Caenorhabditis elegans: one gene and its partners. The protein of the gene in region 1 purifies or fractionates together with the protein of each later gene. This does not show direct contact. Each region holds a gene or a part of one and is shown in the gene's direction. Other genes may lie near its edges.

Region 1 (3,743 bases):
ATGCGGAGGGCGTATGAAAAGTTACTAGTTGTCAGGAAGAAGGTTCATAACCGGCAGGAGGTAGGGGTGATTTTATACGGATATTTGGATATTGTTAAAGGATGAAATCTGAACTTATGCTTTACATTTTTTTAATTAAAAAATACTCACAGTGAGGGTCGAACCCCCTAACTTTGTGTACAAGAAAACTCCCACTGCGCCGTTTGGGAAATTAAAAAAAAAAAAACTTTAAGAACCTCGAACATAAATTACAGAGTTTCATTTCGAAATTTTCAAAAAAATTACCAAAAGCTTAAAACTTTTTTCCAGAACCAACTTCCCCGAGCCATCAGTTTCAACGAGCTTCAAGTAGTGTATCAAAATGAGATGACTGTAATTTATCAATTCCTTTGCGAAGCATTTCCCGAGTACTCTGAGCTCCTTCCAGACACAAAACGATCGCTTTTTAAGAATTTTTTCCTACCATTCACACTTTTGGAGAGCTCATATTATGGATATTTGACGAGTAAGTTCCACTTTTTAGATAAAAATTAAAATTAAATCAAAAACTGAAATTTCAGAGCAAGAAAATGTGATGCTCATTCCTTCGGGCGACTACGTTGATTTGGCTCATCTAGAGTCATATTTCAACAATAATCATCACACGTTTTCTCAAAAAGACACTATTTCGATGTTTGCTCAGCAATTTCGAATGCTCCACACTTCTATAACTGTTCCGTTGAGTGCTGAAAATGTAGATGTTAATGAGTTTCTAGCTCTAGCGGCTATAATTCTCTGGGAATCCGATTTAGAAGTAGAAGCCGATCGGAAGAATGTTCAAGAGGAAGCTGTGAAGATTAAGAGCGCTATTATCAAGGATCTACTTTTTCACTATCAATCTATAAATGTATACGCTGACGTGGCAATGAGGCTTGGCGCTGTTTTGTCCATACTTCCTTCAATTCAGGTTTGCTGCTCGCGGAGCAACAATTTTTTGATTATAAGCTCAAAAGTTGTTTCAGAGAGCCAGTCACCGTTTCCACGAGTATATGGAAATCAAAAATCTGCTCAATTTGTATGCTCTGCCCAAGAATCTCTACGACATGTTCTCGCCAACTTCCTGAATTTTAATGTTTTTTTTAAATTTATTTTCTTAGTGTACAATAAACAAGTATTATTTTTATTTGTCTATAAAATTAAAACTTTTGTTAGAATTGTCCTGAAAAGCAGAAGTGGGGAATAAGAAGAAGAAATGTGCCGAATAAATGTACCGAACAATGCGACTTTGCAGTTGAGCAACTTTTTGAAATTTTTAATCAAAAGTAATGCTATTTTCAGAAAAAATAACTTTGGCAAATCCATAAGAAGGAGAGGATTTCGCAAATTCTGTTAATGCGCTCTGGTGGAGCATGCTCAGTTTAAAAAAAAGAGTATAATTTCGGAAAGCTGTGCAAACACGCCATGCAATTTTATAATTTTCAATAGGCACACGAGGTATAAAAGCATGCCACAACCATTGTTTTTCAAGAGTTTGTTGAGTTCTGAAATAACATCAGATTAAGCTGGAGTCCGATTTGCCTTTATGACTAATGAGCCTCGTGAATATATAATATATTGTCTCGTTAGCTCTCAGAGTGTTTGATCATATTCAAAACGTGTGTAATGAGTTCTATTTGGCAGACACATCACACAACAAATCTACCTCCAACTTTTTGATCTTACAAACTTATTTCTGCTTTTTTTAGTCTCTATATAGTCTAATCCAAGGGATTTTGTGAAGCTCAAAAATTCAAAAATCTCAGAATATTGTTATTCTTGTTTTTTTTAAATCCATTTGAAAACAGGTGCAGTTGCAGATGATAATTAATTATTCATTTATTTCAGAAACATGTTCACCCTAGCTCGTGTGTTGAACAATATTGGAAGCGCTTCATCCAATGAACCGATTCCATATTGTTTGATTTGTAGTGAGGTTGCTGATGGGAATCATTTTGGAGTAGCTGCAGCGTGTAGGTGAGTAACTTTTTCAAAAATTTTGAAATTCGTGAAATTTTCAGAGCTTGCGCTGCATTTTTCCGCCGCACAGTCCAACACAATAAGATCCACGAGTGTGGGAGAAATGGGCAATGCTTTTTCCTATCATGCAAGTTTTTATTGGTCGGGTTTCAAATATCACCACTAAGTTCAGACGCACGGAGCATGTGTAAAGCCTGCAGGTACGGTAAGTGCCTTGAAATGGGAATGCAACGATCATCGGTGCAACAGAGACGTGAACAACTCGGGAAACGTCTGAATATCTCTGATGATCGTGGAAAGCCAGTGCTTAATAAGTTGCGAAGAGCGTACGAAATGTTAATTTTAAACAGGAAACACGTGCATAATAGGCGGGAGGTAAGGACTGTTTAATTGTTCATATGAAATACTGATACCTGATCAGTGAACCATTTCAGAACCAAGCACCCCGAGCCATCGGCTTTAACGAGCTTCCAATCGTGTTTCAAAACGAGTCGACAAGCATATATCAGTTCCTCTGGGAAGCATTTCCCGAGTACTCCATGCTTCTTCCAGACACAAAACTCGCATTTTTCAAAAATTTCTTCTTGTCGTTCTGTCTATTTGAGAGCTCGTTTAATGGATGTTCAGCAAGTATGTTTTTTTTTCAGCCATAATTTTTTCATTCCATATCTAAATTTTCAGAGCAAAAAAATGTGATGCTCATTCCATCCGGTGACTACATCGATTTGGCTCATTCTGAATCGTTTTTCACCAACGATCATCAAACTTTCACTGAAAGAGACAATATTGAAATACTCGCTCAAAGGCTAAAATTAATACAATCATCTATAACTGTTCCGTTGAGTGCTGAAAATGTAGATATCTATGAGTTCCTCGCGCTTGCGGGTATCATTCTCTTGGAATCGGATTCTGAGTCAGAAGCCGATTTTCAAGAAGAAGCTGTGAAGATTAAGAGCAATATCATCAAGGATCTACTTTTTCACTATCAATGTATAAATATTTATGATGACGCAGCAATGAGGCTTGGCGCAGTTTTGTCCATACTTCCATCAATTCAAGTTTGTTGCTCGCGGAGCAACAATTTTTTGATTATAAACTCTAAAGATGTTTCAGAGAGCCAGTCACCGTTTTCACGAATACATGGAAATCAAAAATATGCTCAATTTGTACGCTCTTCCCAAGAATCTTTACGACATGTTCTCGCCAACTTCATAAAATTTATTTGTAAATTTGTTTCTATTTGATTTTTTTTAAATAGTTATACTGTAAATTTTTGATTCCAGTAGTATTAATAAAAATGTACAAAACTTTGGCAGCCACTTTTGCCGAGTACCTCAGAGCGCATTTGCAATTTCTATAACTGTTTTTTTTAGTTTGATCTACGAAAATGCGCTGATAATCTCTAGCTGTAAATTAACTATTATTTTTAATAATACATCAATAGTACCACGCCGTTGGCTAGACCGGAAATTAAAATGCACAGTTTTTCATATTTCCTTCAGATTTTTTTCATCACCATGATATTGTCTCATCAAGCTGTAAGTTACTCAGAAAACATTCTAAAATTTCCCAATGTATCAGCAATTTGTCGTCTCCGCAATCACCTTTATTGTGAGTTTTTGTAAAACGTAGTTGATAGAAGGTACTGTAAACTGCTCCAATTTCAGGTATCATTAATAGGTATCCTCTCAAATATAGTTTTAGTCCTTGCAATCCGTAAAACGTACTCCATGAATGGCTCTTTTGGG
Region 2 (3,867 bases), on another chromosome or scaffold:
ACTACCTTAGATGTCTGTGAAATGGCTCCAGACGTGTATTTCTGCAGCTTTTCGATGATAAAGGTACCTATGGTTTGAAAAAAAATTTCCAGAATGCCTTTGAAATAATCAAAATTTGTAAAAATGTAGACTTGGAGCAATTTCACGGGCCTCTAAAGTAGTGAAACAATGCACTGAACAATTTCATATCAGCTTTTTCCTAGTTCAACACGGTCTTCTGCTGCTTATTTTTTGTAGAAACCTACTTTGAATAACTTTTTTAAAAAATTTACTAGGTTTCATCCGGAAGTCTAAAACTGAAATAATTTCCATGTTAGTAAACTTTATCCATGATCAAAATTGTTCCAGATGCAGCAGCAACAACAGTCTTCACAGCAACAACAACATCAGTCTCAGTCGTCACAGTCGTCCAGTCTTCTACAAGACTTGTTCAATCGCCAACAGCAACAACATCAAGCGCAGCAACAAGCACAACAACATCAACAACAGCAGATGTATGCTGGAATCAACTCATACATGTACAATGACATGTTGATGCCTCGAGTACCATTTGGAATGGCACCACCTCCAGGACTCGGAGGTCCATCTACGAACAGATCTTCCACGACACAACAAGCACCTCCACACATGACACAACAATCACAACAACAACAGCAACAGCAACAGTCAAGTATGGGATTGTTCGGAATGGGAGGCCATCAAAGTATGATGCAGGATCATCAATCACAGCAGCCACAATCTGCACAAGATGCATTCAAAGCTCTTCTTCCAAATGTAAATGTTCGGTTTATGGATGATAATTCGATGTCTCGTTGGTCGCATGAGAACAGTCTGCGATCATCAGCCGTCCCACCACCACCCGGTTTTTCTTCTGTGATGAACCGATAATTTTGGCACAATTGCACACACACACACAAAAGCACCCACACACCCTCATTCTAGTTATCTTCTTCTATTCCTACCGTTTTCTCCCTTCATTTTCGAATTCGAAAGACAAAGAAAAATTTCTGATGTGTATCCCCATTATTCCCGTTCCCGGTTGTTGTAGATGATTCTTTTTTAATATCATCAACTCCAACACATTCTATTATTCTTCATAATAATATTCTTCATATGTTATTGGCTCTCTTCTTTAATCATTTTGTCCTCTCTTACGACATGTATCATTAGCTCATTTTGTTGGAGTCGCCTCCGCCTCGAATTCAGATTCTTATTCGTGTTTGTTGCTCCTCTCCCATAGAAAATGCTTTGATTATTTCGTTTCCTTTCCCCCCTAAAACACCAACGGACTTGAACTTAAAGTTGCTCTCGCGAACAGTCGTGCAGTGAACAGACTGCAAAGCTGACCATCTGAATCGTGATGAAGCTTCTCTTTCTTTTTTCTCCTTTTTTTTGGGATTCACACATTAGAAACGGGACGGTTCTATTTATAGCTTCTTTTATTTTTTCTGCTGTCCTGGTCATTCCTTTCCTCCTTTGCGTCCCGTTCAAATTTTTATTTTCTTTCTCCCTCTTTTTGTGGCAGTTTTCATGTGATTTCTTTATTTAAGTTGTACCCTCAACTAATCTAAGAATCAACGTGGTTTCTGTATTTCTTTTTCTTTTGAAAGTTTAGTTTATTCAAGTTTTTGTCGTTACCATTTTCTTTCATACACGTATCACCCAGAATCTTCACTTCTCCTCGTTTGAGAACAGGATGACGGGCGTTTTTAATCGTATTCAGTAGAATTTGCTTTTCTTCTTTTAGGCGATTGGATTTGCTTGTATTTTGAAAGTGGTACGGCGAATAAAGAAATTATTTGGTGGAACTTTATACACTTTCATTAAACGAGACGAGTTGACAGGCTAATTTTTATTTTAAGAAGACACAAACCAATAATACATCATTTAACATTATTGGCATTGTTTCAGGAAGGTAGTTTTAAAATCAAAATGGCAGAGGATTTTGATATTGAGAAGTTTTTAAAAACCGTGGCCGAAAAAAATCCAGAACTTATCGAAGGGGTCGAAGGAAATAGTGAAGATTTCAAAACTGATGAATTTGAGAAAAATCTAGTGGATTTGCATCCGGAACTTGCAGAAGAAATTTGTGATTTTGATGAAAGAACTGTAAGAGAGGAAAAAGAAAAGACTATAAGTAAAAAGTTCGTTATTTTTAAAAAATATAACTTTCAATTAATTGAAATTTTGAAATTTAGATGTAAAATATTTTATGGTAGTCGCGAAGTTGCCGGCTTAAAATAGTCCAACATGACCGAATATTGAATTTTGAAATGTTTTTCAAGTCTTACTATTTTATAGACGTCCACAAATGCGAATTTTCGCCATATCTTACACGCATGGTCTCACCACGAACACATGAAGTTACAGTAGCTCGATGCCTGCGTGGCGAGACCCGTGAGCGTAAAATAAGACGAAAATTCTCATTTTGGACGTCTATGTAATAGTAACACTTTAACATTTTTAAAAGTATCTATTATTTACTCAATTTTCAAGTATCATAATTTTGGAAGTCGACCAAAAGTACTTTAAAAATGTTCTTAATTTTGCACTATCTATGTATTGTGTGTATTTATACTCTGAATGCTAGCAATTTTCGCGAGCAAAACTCAAAAATTCCAAAACAAAAAGCCTATGATTATTTAAACAGTCAAACAATTCGAACTATTGGAAAATTAATTTTAAAGTTTTAATATTTTTTCAGACAACAAGCTCGAGATCGTCAAATACGATTGGAAGCAATGATGACTGATGGACGAAGTGTAATTGAAAAAAAAGGAATAACATTTCACGATAAAATGATTACAATTGAAGGACCAATGTCGATGATTGCAAATGCAGTTATAAATCAAAAGAGAATTGAAGTAAGAGTTCGTTCGGCAATTCGAATTGATCGGATTTTCGAGGGAATACCAACCACTTTTGATGAACATTTCAATTTAATGATGAAAGATGTTACGGAAACTGTTCTACATGGAAGGTTTTAATGATTTTTTCTTCTTCGTTTACTAAATTAATATAAATTCAGAAAAGCACAAAAAGAATTCACAAATCGGAAAGAAATGCAACTACTACTGCCAGAGTTTCTTCGGTGGAAAGAAGGTGGAAATTGGCCTATGAAAGTTGGAACAAATCGTCTTATAGAACATCGTTTCCAGAGAGCATGCTTCATTAAAGGAGATTCCGTTGTTTTGGTACGAATGCTTCCATAGATATCATGAAATTGTAGAAAACGGGTTAATTTTGGAATTTTTACAGTTTTTGTCTGAATGAAATTATTATCATCTGAAGTTGTGTAAATTTATGAAATTTTTTAAATATAAAAACTTTTTTATATACCAGTTTTTCATTCAGTACCATTAAACAGTGTCAAATTGAAAAAAAAATGAAAGAGCTACTGCAAGTCAAATGAAAACCCAATTTTGTCGTGTATGACAAAACGGGAAAAGAATCTAGAAGTGAATAAAATGGGTGACATTAAACGTTTTTGGGAGCATTGATGATGATGTTGATGATGATGTTAAAAGGAAGGAACATAATTTGTTGAGTATAGAAAGAGAAAAACACCCGAATAACGTCAAGTCTGCAAATTTCAATAGAATTTTCAAAAAGGGCACTTAGGAATTGTGAAGGAAAAAGTTGAACAGCGAACAAACAAAAAACCATCAGAATACGGGTAAGGGGAATAAGATTAACAACAACTTGATCCAATTCTAAGAACATTTAAGCGAAAAATTGGAAATATGAAAACATTGAGCGCAATAACAAAAAAAACAATTGATTTACAAATTACGAGGAAAAAAGAAAAATGGTGAATATGACGGCGAGAAAAGGGCACCAGGGAGATGGTTGAAATTGAATTATTGA
Region 3 (5,427 bases), on another chromosome or scaffold:
TTTCTTCTTTTAGTTGTGTTGTGTCGTTTTTCCCGTCGTTCAATTAACTGAACATCTGTTTAAAACACTTCAATTTTATTGTTGACAAGTTTAACTACTTGTGTTCAACTCAACCAAGTATTTCTTGTAGATTCTCATGAAAAGATCATAAACTATTGTAGGTTGAGCCTTATAGCAAGCTAAATGAGAGCTTATAGAGAAATGTGAAAAATATATATTCGTGTTTCTAGAAACGTTTCTCTCTTGGTTTTATTTTTTGGAATTTCTAAACAGGAAAAACTATGCCAAGTCTTTTGATTGTCTGTAGAAGACGAACACCAGTTATCACAGAAACTGGTTTTAGTTGTTCTGCGAAATTCGTATTGTCTAATAAATTAGTATCATATGTTTTTTCTTTCTGAATTCATGCTAGTTTTCGATTTAGAAAACATTTTGATTGTATATTTAACTGAAAACATTTTCTCGGCTCGTCACCAAATCCCCGAAATTTATGACATTTTTGCCCATCATAGTTTTCTACAGGCCTGCTCAATTGTTCCATGTCATCCGCTCATTTCTGTTGTGCAAAATGTTCCACCCCCATCGAAAACAATAGAGCTGACAAGTTTAAGTTATAGTCGATCAACTTTCTTCGTAAAAGTTCATTAGATATCCATTTCTAATTGGAATTGACAAAAAAAAACGTTGATTCTCAGGACAACGTCACAGTTTCCAATCTGATATCCTATATCTCTAATAGAAAAATTCCCGAAATGCGGGTCTTGGCAATTGTCCATGAAGGGCCCTTAAAAGATGCGATGCTGAACAATTCAATGAATTTTCTTGCCATGTCAGAAATTTTTTAGCAAACACATTTCTGTTGAACACAACTTTTCCTTTTTCTTGCTGAAATAATCCTATCAAAACGCTCTATCAGTTCTATAAAATGGCAAATGAGAATAAAACAAAAATGTGAACACATGACATTTACAGGCAATTCATATCAGAGATTTATCGGAGCCCATTCGCTCGTTCCGATGTATTGCTTTGTTTTTGTTTCTTCTCCATTGAATTCCATCAATTCCCGCGAAAAAAAACATCACCTGTCACCTTGGGCGTCGCGGGCGCCCATAGGGACATCCTCTTTTCCCTTCAATGTCACCTCTGCGTCTCATTTCTTTCATCATTCTTGGCTCGATTTCACTTGTGTGTGTTGTCCGTCTGTCTCCCGCCCGTCGTTTTCTGCTGCTTTTCGCGCCCTCTCTTTCACTCCCCCACTGTGGTCGGTTGTGTCACTGTCTTTCTTATCGACCTCTTGGTGTCTGTTCCATCATCTTTTGTTGGTCTTGTCATTGGGTTTTGTTGTTTTATGTCCTTTTTCATTTGACAAATTCTGCAGGAAACAAATTTCGCAAGTATTCGCTCTAATTGCTGTTCAGATTGTCTCTGTGGATTTCGATTCACTAATCCGGATTTTTGCTCCCTGGATTTGTTAGTTCTCGTTCCTACATGGAGAATTTGAAAGTCTGTCACTCCGAATTTTGAAAATTTAATCGCCAAATTGATTCCACTTATTAGATATTACCCAGACGCGAAAATTTTGGATTTTAGTGCCAAAAATTGTTATAGTTTGAAACTACAGTACTCTTTAAAGGCGCACACATATTTCTATGCAATACATAATTGTCGCATTGAGGCCAGATACCGTATTTTCGCCCATAAAAATTGCGACATTTCGAGTCTGGGTAATATACAAAACTGTTTTTGAAATTTTCAGCAACACACAGCATATTTAATTTTATTGAATAAACATTGAAACTGATGGAAACAATTTTCCGATGGTAATCCAATGATTCTTGTTCTCAATTCACTTGCTGTTTGACTTGTTGCTTATCTTTCATTTCGAAATGAGCATTAAGTGTTCCCCTCCAATAGATTCTTTTGATTACCTCATTTCTCTATATACTCTAATTTTATCTGTACAATTGTACTTCTTTTTCTTCTTTTTCTTGTTGTATACATGGTTGTTGCAGAGCACAAAGGGCAACCAGACTCCGCCCATTTCTCAACTCTCTAAGTACCTTGAGAGGTAGTTAGAGAAAACGAGAAAACTACGAACGAGATCAGTTTATCAGCCAATCTGTGTGTTTGTTTCGAACGAGAGCAACTACCCGCTAGTCGTGGAATTGTGAGCTGTGAGTTTTTTGTTTGAAAAAAGAAGTATAAATGTAATACTGGGATCATAACCATTTTTTTGTATTTTCACTACTTTTGGATTAAAAAAAAAATGTCATGTTTTGGTCATTTCCAATCAAAAGTTCATTTCAGAATAAATTGGATTCCTAATTCAATTAGCCTCTTCCTGTCCGACCATATCTACGCTCTTCCAATCCATTAACCCCCGCCGACTGTGTTCGAACAACAACTACGACGAAATCAAATTCTTCTCTTACTAAATACGCCTAAAATAATGGGAATTCTTGATCATCCATCATCATCATCCGGTCAGTGTGGAACTATCTTTGAAAAAGATATTTTAAAAACTATATAAACATAAAAGAAAAATCTGCCCATTATGGCAATGAAACGCTTCGTTGATTGATAAATTGATGAATGGAATGTTTTATGATTAGTGACAGTGTTATCGTTTATATAGCGCCTAAAATAAAACTTTATGAGGACCCTATGGACTTTGATCGTGGGATGCAGAAAAAACTAACATAACACAAGTAGTTTCTCTTATCAGATTTATTTATCACTTGGATCCGATAAAAGATATGTTAAGATCCGTGGGCGCCGATGGCGCTCATTTATCAAAAATGTTCGAGGAAGAAAATCTGCAGAAAAATCTATTTTCTAGTTGTGATCAGGGCTGAATCCAAAATATTTTCTTTGTTGACAAACCGAGAACGATTAAAAAAAAAATTTCCATACTTTAATAATTGCGAGTGTTTTTTTTATGGAAAACAAAACTTTAAAAAGCATAAAATTAATTCTTCACCAAAAACATGAAAAAACAACAAAAATGCGGAAAACTAAATAAAAAGAAGCTCAGACTCATAATCATCAATATTTTCAGGTATCCAATCGGGTGGTGGTACATTTGGAATTGACTGGGCAAAATGGTTTCCACCAGTCACATCTCGATCCTTCCTTTCTCACTATCTTCCTGCTTCTGGAGCACTTTCACACACTCTTTACACTGTGCATTTGTTCAGTCCAAATATCATTTCAAGGTAAGTGTCTACGAATCAATTCTAAATTAGTTGTTTGTTTTTTCAGTCTGTTTCCGACGGGAGATCTTGCCGTCAGCAACACGATTCTGTTCAATGCCAACGTGGGACTCGGATTCTACGTGTATTTCAGAAGACACCTTCACCGTGTGAATCCATGGGAGAGAGTTGAATTCAGGTAAATTAACTTTTTTTTGAGAAAAAGAAAGATTCCAACAAATAATGATTTTTCAGTGTTCTTTCATCTACGCTGTTCAATTTTGGAAGTCTGCTTGCCGCAGTGCTCATCAAAGCATTGATCCCAGCAAAATCGCCAACTTGGCTCAAATCTCTGACAGCTACCGTACTCAGTGGATACCTACTGTCTCGAGCTGCAAAATATATGGGAATTCTCGACCATCGATCAAGCAGAGGTTCCGTTTCGCCGGCTAGAAGGTAGGCATTGTGCTTATTGTGAATGTGTGATTTTGTGTGCAATTACTGTGTTGAGTCATTTAACTTGTAATCAAAAGTTATAGAATCATAGATTTGATTTGAAAATTCAATTGGTGAAAATTCTTACATCGTTCTCGTTGTTTCTAATGACAACCGAGCAAAGTGTCCAGAACGTTTTAAATTATTGAAAAAAAAACTATCTTACAAAATTATCAAATTTTGACAATAATTATAGCCAAACCTGGATTAAAATTACATGATTTATTCAAATGAGTGGATATATTTAGAATACCTTTGTTCATTTGTTTAACATTCCAATTTCATAGTACTCGTTATTTCTCTGATTTCTAGCGTGCTGTCAAGACGGCAAACCGCTTCCCGTTCTTCTCATGCTGCAGAAGTTACACCTCCACCAGCATCATATGCTCCAGAAACACCTCGTTCAGTGGCTTCAACGTCATATTATTCTCCATCAGAACTGCATTTGGACACTACATCATCTGTTCAATTGGAGACTCCACCACAAAGCCATGAATCTGGATCTTTCATGCCAATGACACCTTCTGCCACAGAACATTCATCGTCAGAATTTGGGCAAGATTTGGAAGATGCTGGAGATAGACATGAAAATTATCGGTACCTTCACTCATATGCATTGAATAATTTGAATCATAGTCGCCCGAAGAAGGAAACGATTTTAAGAAGGACTACGATGAATCAGAAAAATCAGTTGGCCACACCACAGAAGCAATTGAGACGATCTTCGGAAACAATGGCTCCCATGTGCTTCGTGACTCCTGAACCATCGTGGAAAGAGCTGGATGTTGGAGTTTATACACCACCGCCGTCAAGAATGGATTTTACACCACAAGCCTCGAAAAAATTGACGAAGTCTTCAAAATCTGTGAAAATAATTCAAAAGAAGTCCCGCCGAATCCCGAACGAGAAGGATGATTTCGATCGATTTTTAGACGCAGTTCAGTGGCACGCCCCTTTAATTCTTGTACCAGTTGCATTTGGATGTTGGATAACTGGCAGTGTGCCAATTTTGAGCCCAACTTTACGATTTATTTTCGCATAATTGTTTTTTATCGCATTTGAATCTTCGATTTTTGAGATTCAAAAGTTTCCTCCCCCGTGTTTCATTGGAAACTCCGCCCCTCAATCTAATATTTACCGGTAGTGCCTGTTTTCTAGTGACCAAAATTTTTTGTTTTTATGGAAAATAAACATTTTTTTTTCTTAAATTTCAATGATACAACGGACGAAATAAGAATTTTCACCAATAAATTTCAAAATGCTTGAAATGTTTTGTGTGCCTTTAGTTTGCGTTTTTCCCGTTTTCAGACGACTCAATTTTTAGCATTCAACCTTCGCCACAACCATCGAATGGACATGCTCAAATAAATGGAATTCAACTCTAAATACTTGCATTTCTCCTTATTTTGTTCTCGTTGCTCCGTATTTTTCAAACTTTCAGAATTTTTTTGTCGGCTTTCTCACAATGCTCATGATACTCTTTTCATGGTAGTTTTTGTCCCAGATTTTGGTCTCGTTTTTTTATTGTATTTTCCGGTATTTTCTATTATATACATACATATGTTCAATCATAAAAGTTTCATGAAAAAGTAACGTTTATTAGTGAGAATAGAAATAAAAATGGAAACATTGTCTCATATTAAATAACTGAACATTTTGGGAAATGAAAATGAAAAATTTTGTGACATACAAAATAGAAGGCAGAGCAGTTTTTGAAGGTTCAAAATATAAAAATCAAATT

What was found. Proteins that work in one complex are often made in the same cells at the same time.
Region 2: the proteins of nhr-199 (region 1) and C49H3.4 fractionate together in Caenorhabditis elegans (co-fractionation; one large-scale study listed by BioGRID). This does not show direct contact.
Region 3: the proteins of nhr-199 (region 1) and C09G9.1 fractionate together in Caenorhabditis elegans (co-fractionation; one large-scale study listed by BioGRID). This does not show direct contact.

Annotation. Positions count from the first base shown.
Region 1 is NC_003283.11:15,698,024-15,701,766, reverse strand, and holds nhr-199 (Nuclear hormone receptor family member nhr-199), read left to right. Parts: upstream 1-1,867; coding exon 1,868-1,992; intron 1,993-2,036; coding exon 2,037-2,370; intron 2,371-2,429; coding exon 2,430-2,625; intron 2,626-2,676; coding exon 2,677-3,239; downstream 3,240-3,743. Other genes in the region: Nuclear hormone receptor family member nhr-53, read left to right, coding at 1-60, 310-505, 561-946, 1,002-1,103; srx-29 (7TM GPCR serpentine receptor class x (Srx) domain-containing protein), read left to right, coding at 3,568-3,606, 3,663-3,743. UniProt on the Caenorhabditis elegans protein: Orphan nuclear receptor.
Region 2 is NC_003282.8:7,913,380-7,917,246, forward strand, and holds C49H3.4 (Sm domain-containing protein), read left to right. Parts: upstream 1-1,911; 5' UTR 1,912-1,932; coding exon 1,933-2,144; intron 2,145-2,704; coding exon 2,705-2,980; intron 2,981-3,028; coding exon 3,029-3,212; 3' UTR 3,213-3,331; downstream 3,332-3,867. Other genes in the region: ntl-4 (CCR4-NOT transcription complex subunit 4), read left to right, coding at 349-888; xpo-3 (Exportin-T), read right to left, coding at 3,861-3,867.
Region 3 is NC_003282.8:8,862,069-8,867,495, reverse strand, and holds C09G9.1 (Rhomboid domain-containing protein), read left to right. Parts: upstream 1-2,012; 5' UTR 2,013-2,174; intron 2,175-2,307; 5' UTR 2,308-2,449; coding exon 2,450-2,483; intron 2,484-3,058; coding exon 3,059-3,215; intron 3,216-3,261; coding exon 3,262-3,390; intron 3,391-3,446; coding exon 3,447-3,647; intron 3,648-3,998; coding exon 3,999-4,728; 3' UTR 4,729-4,891; downstream 4,892-5,427.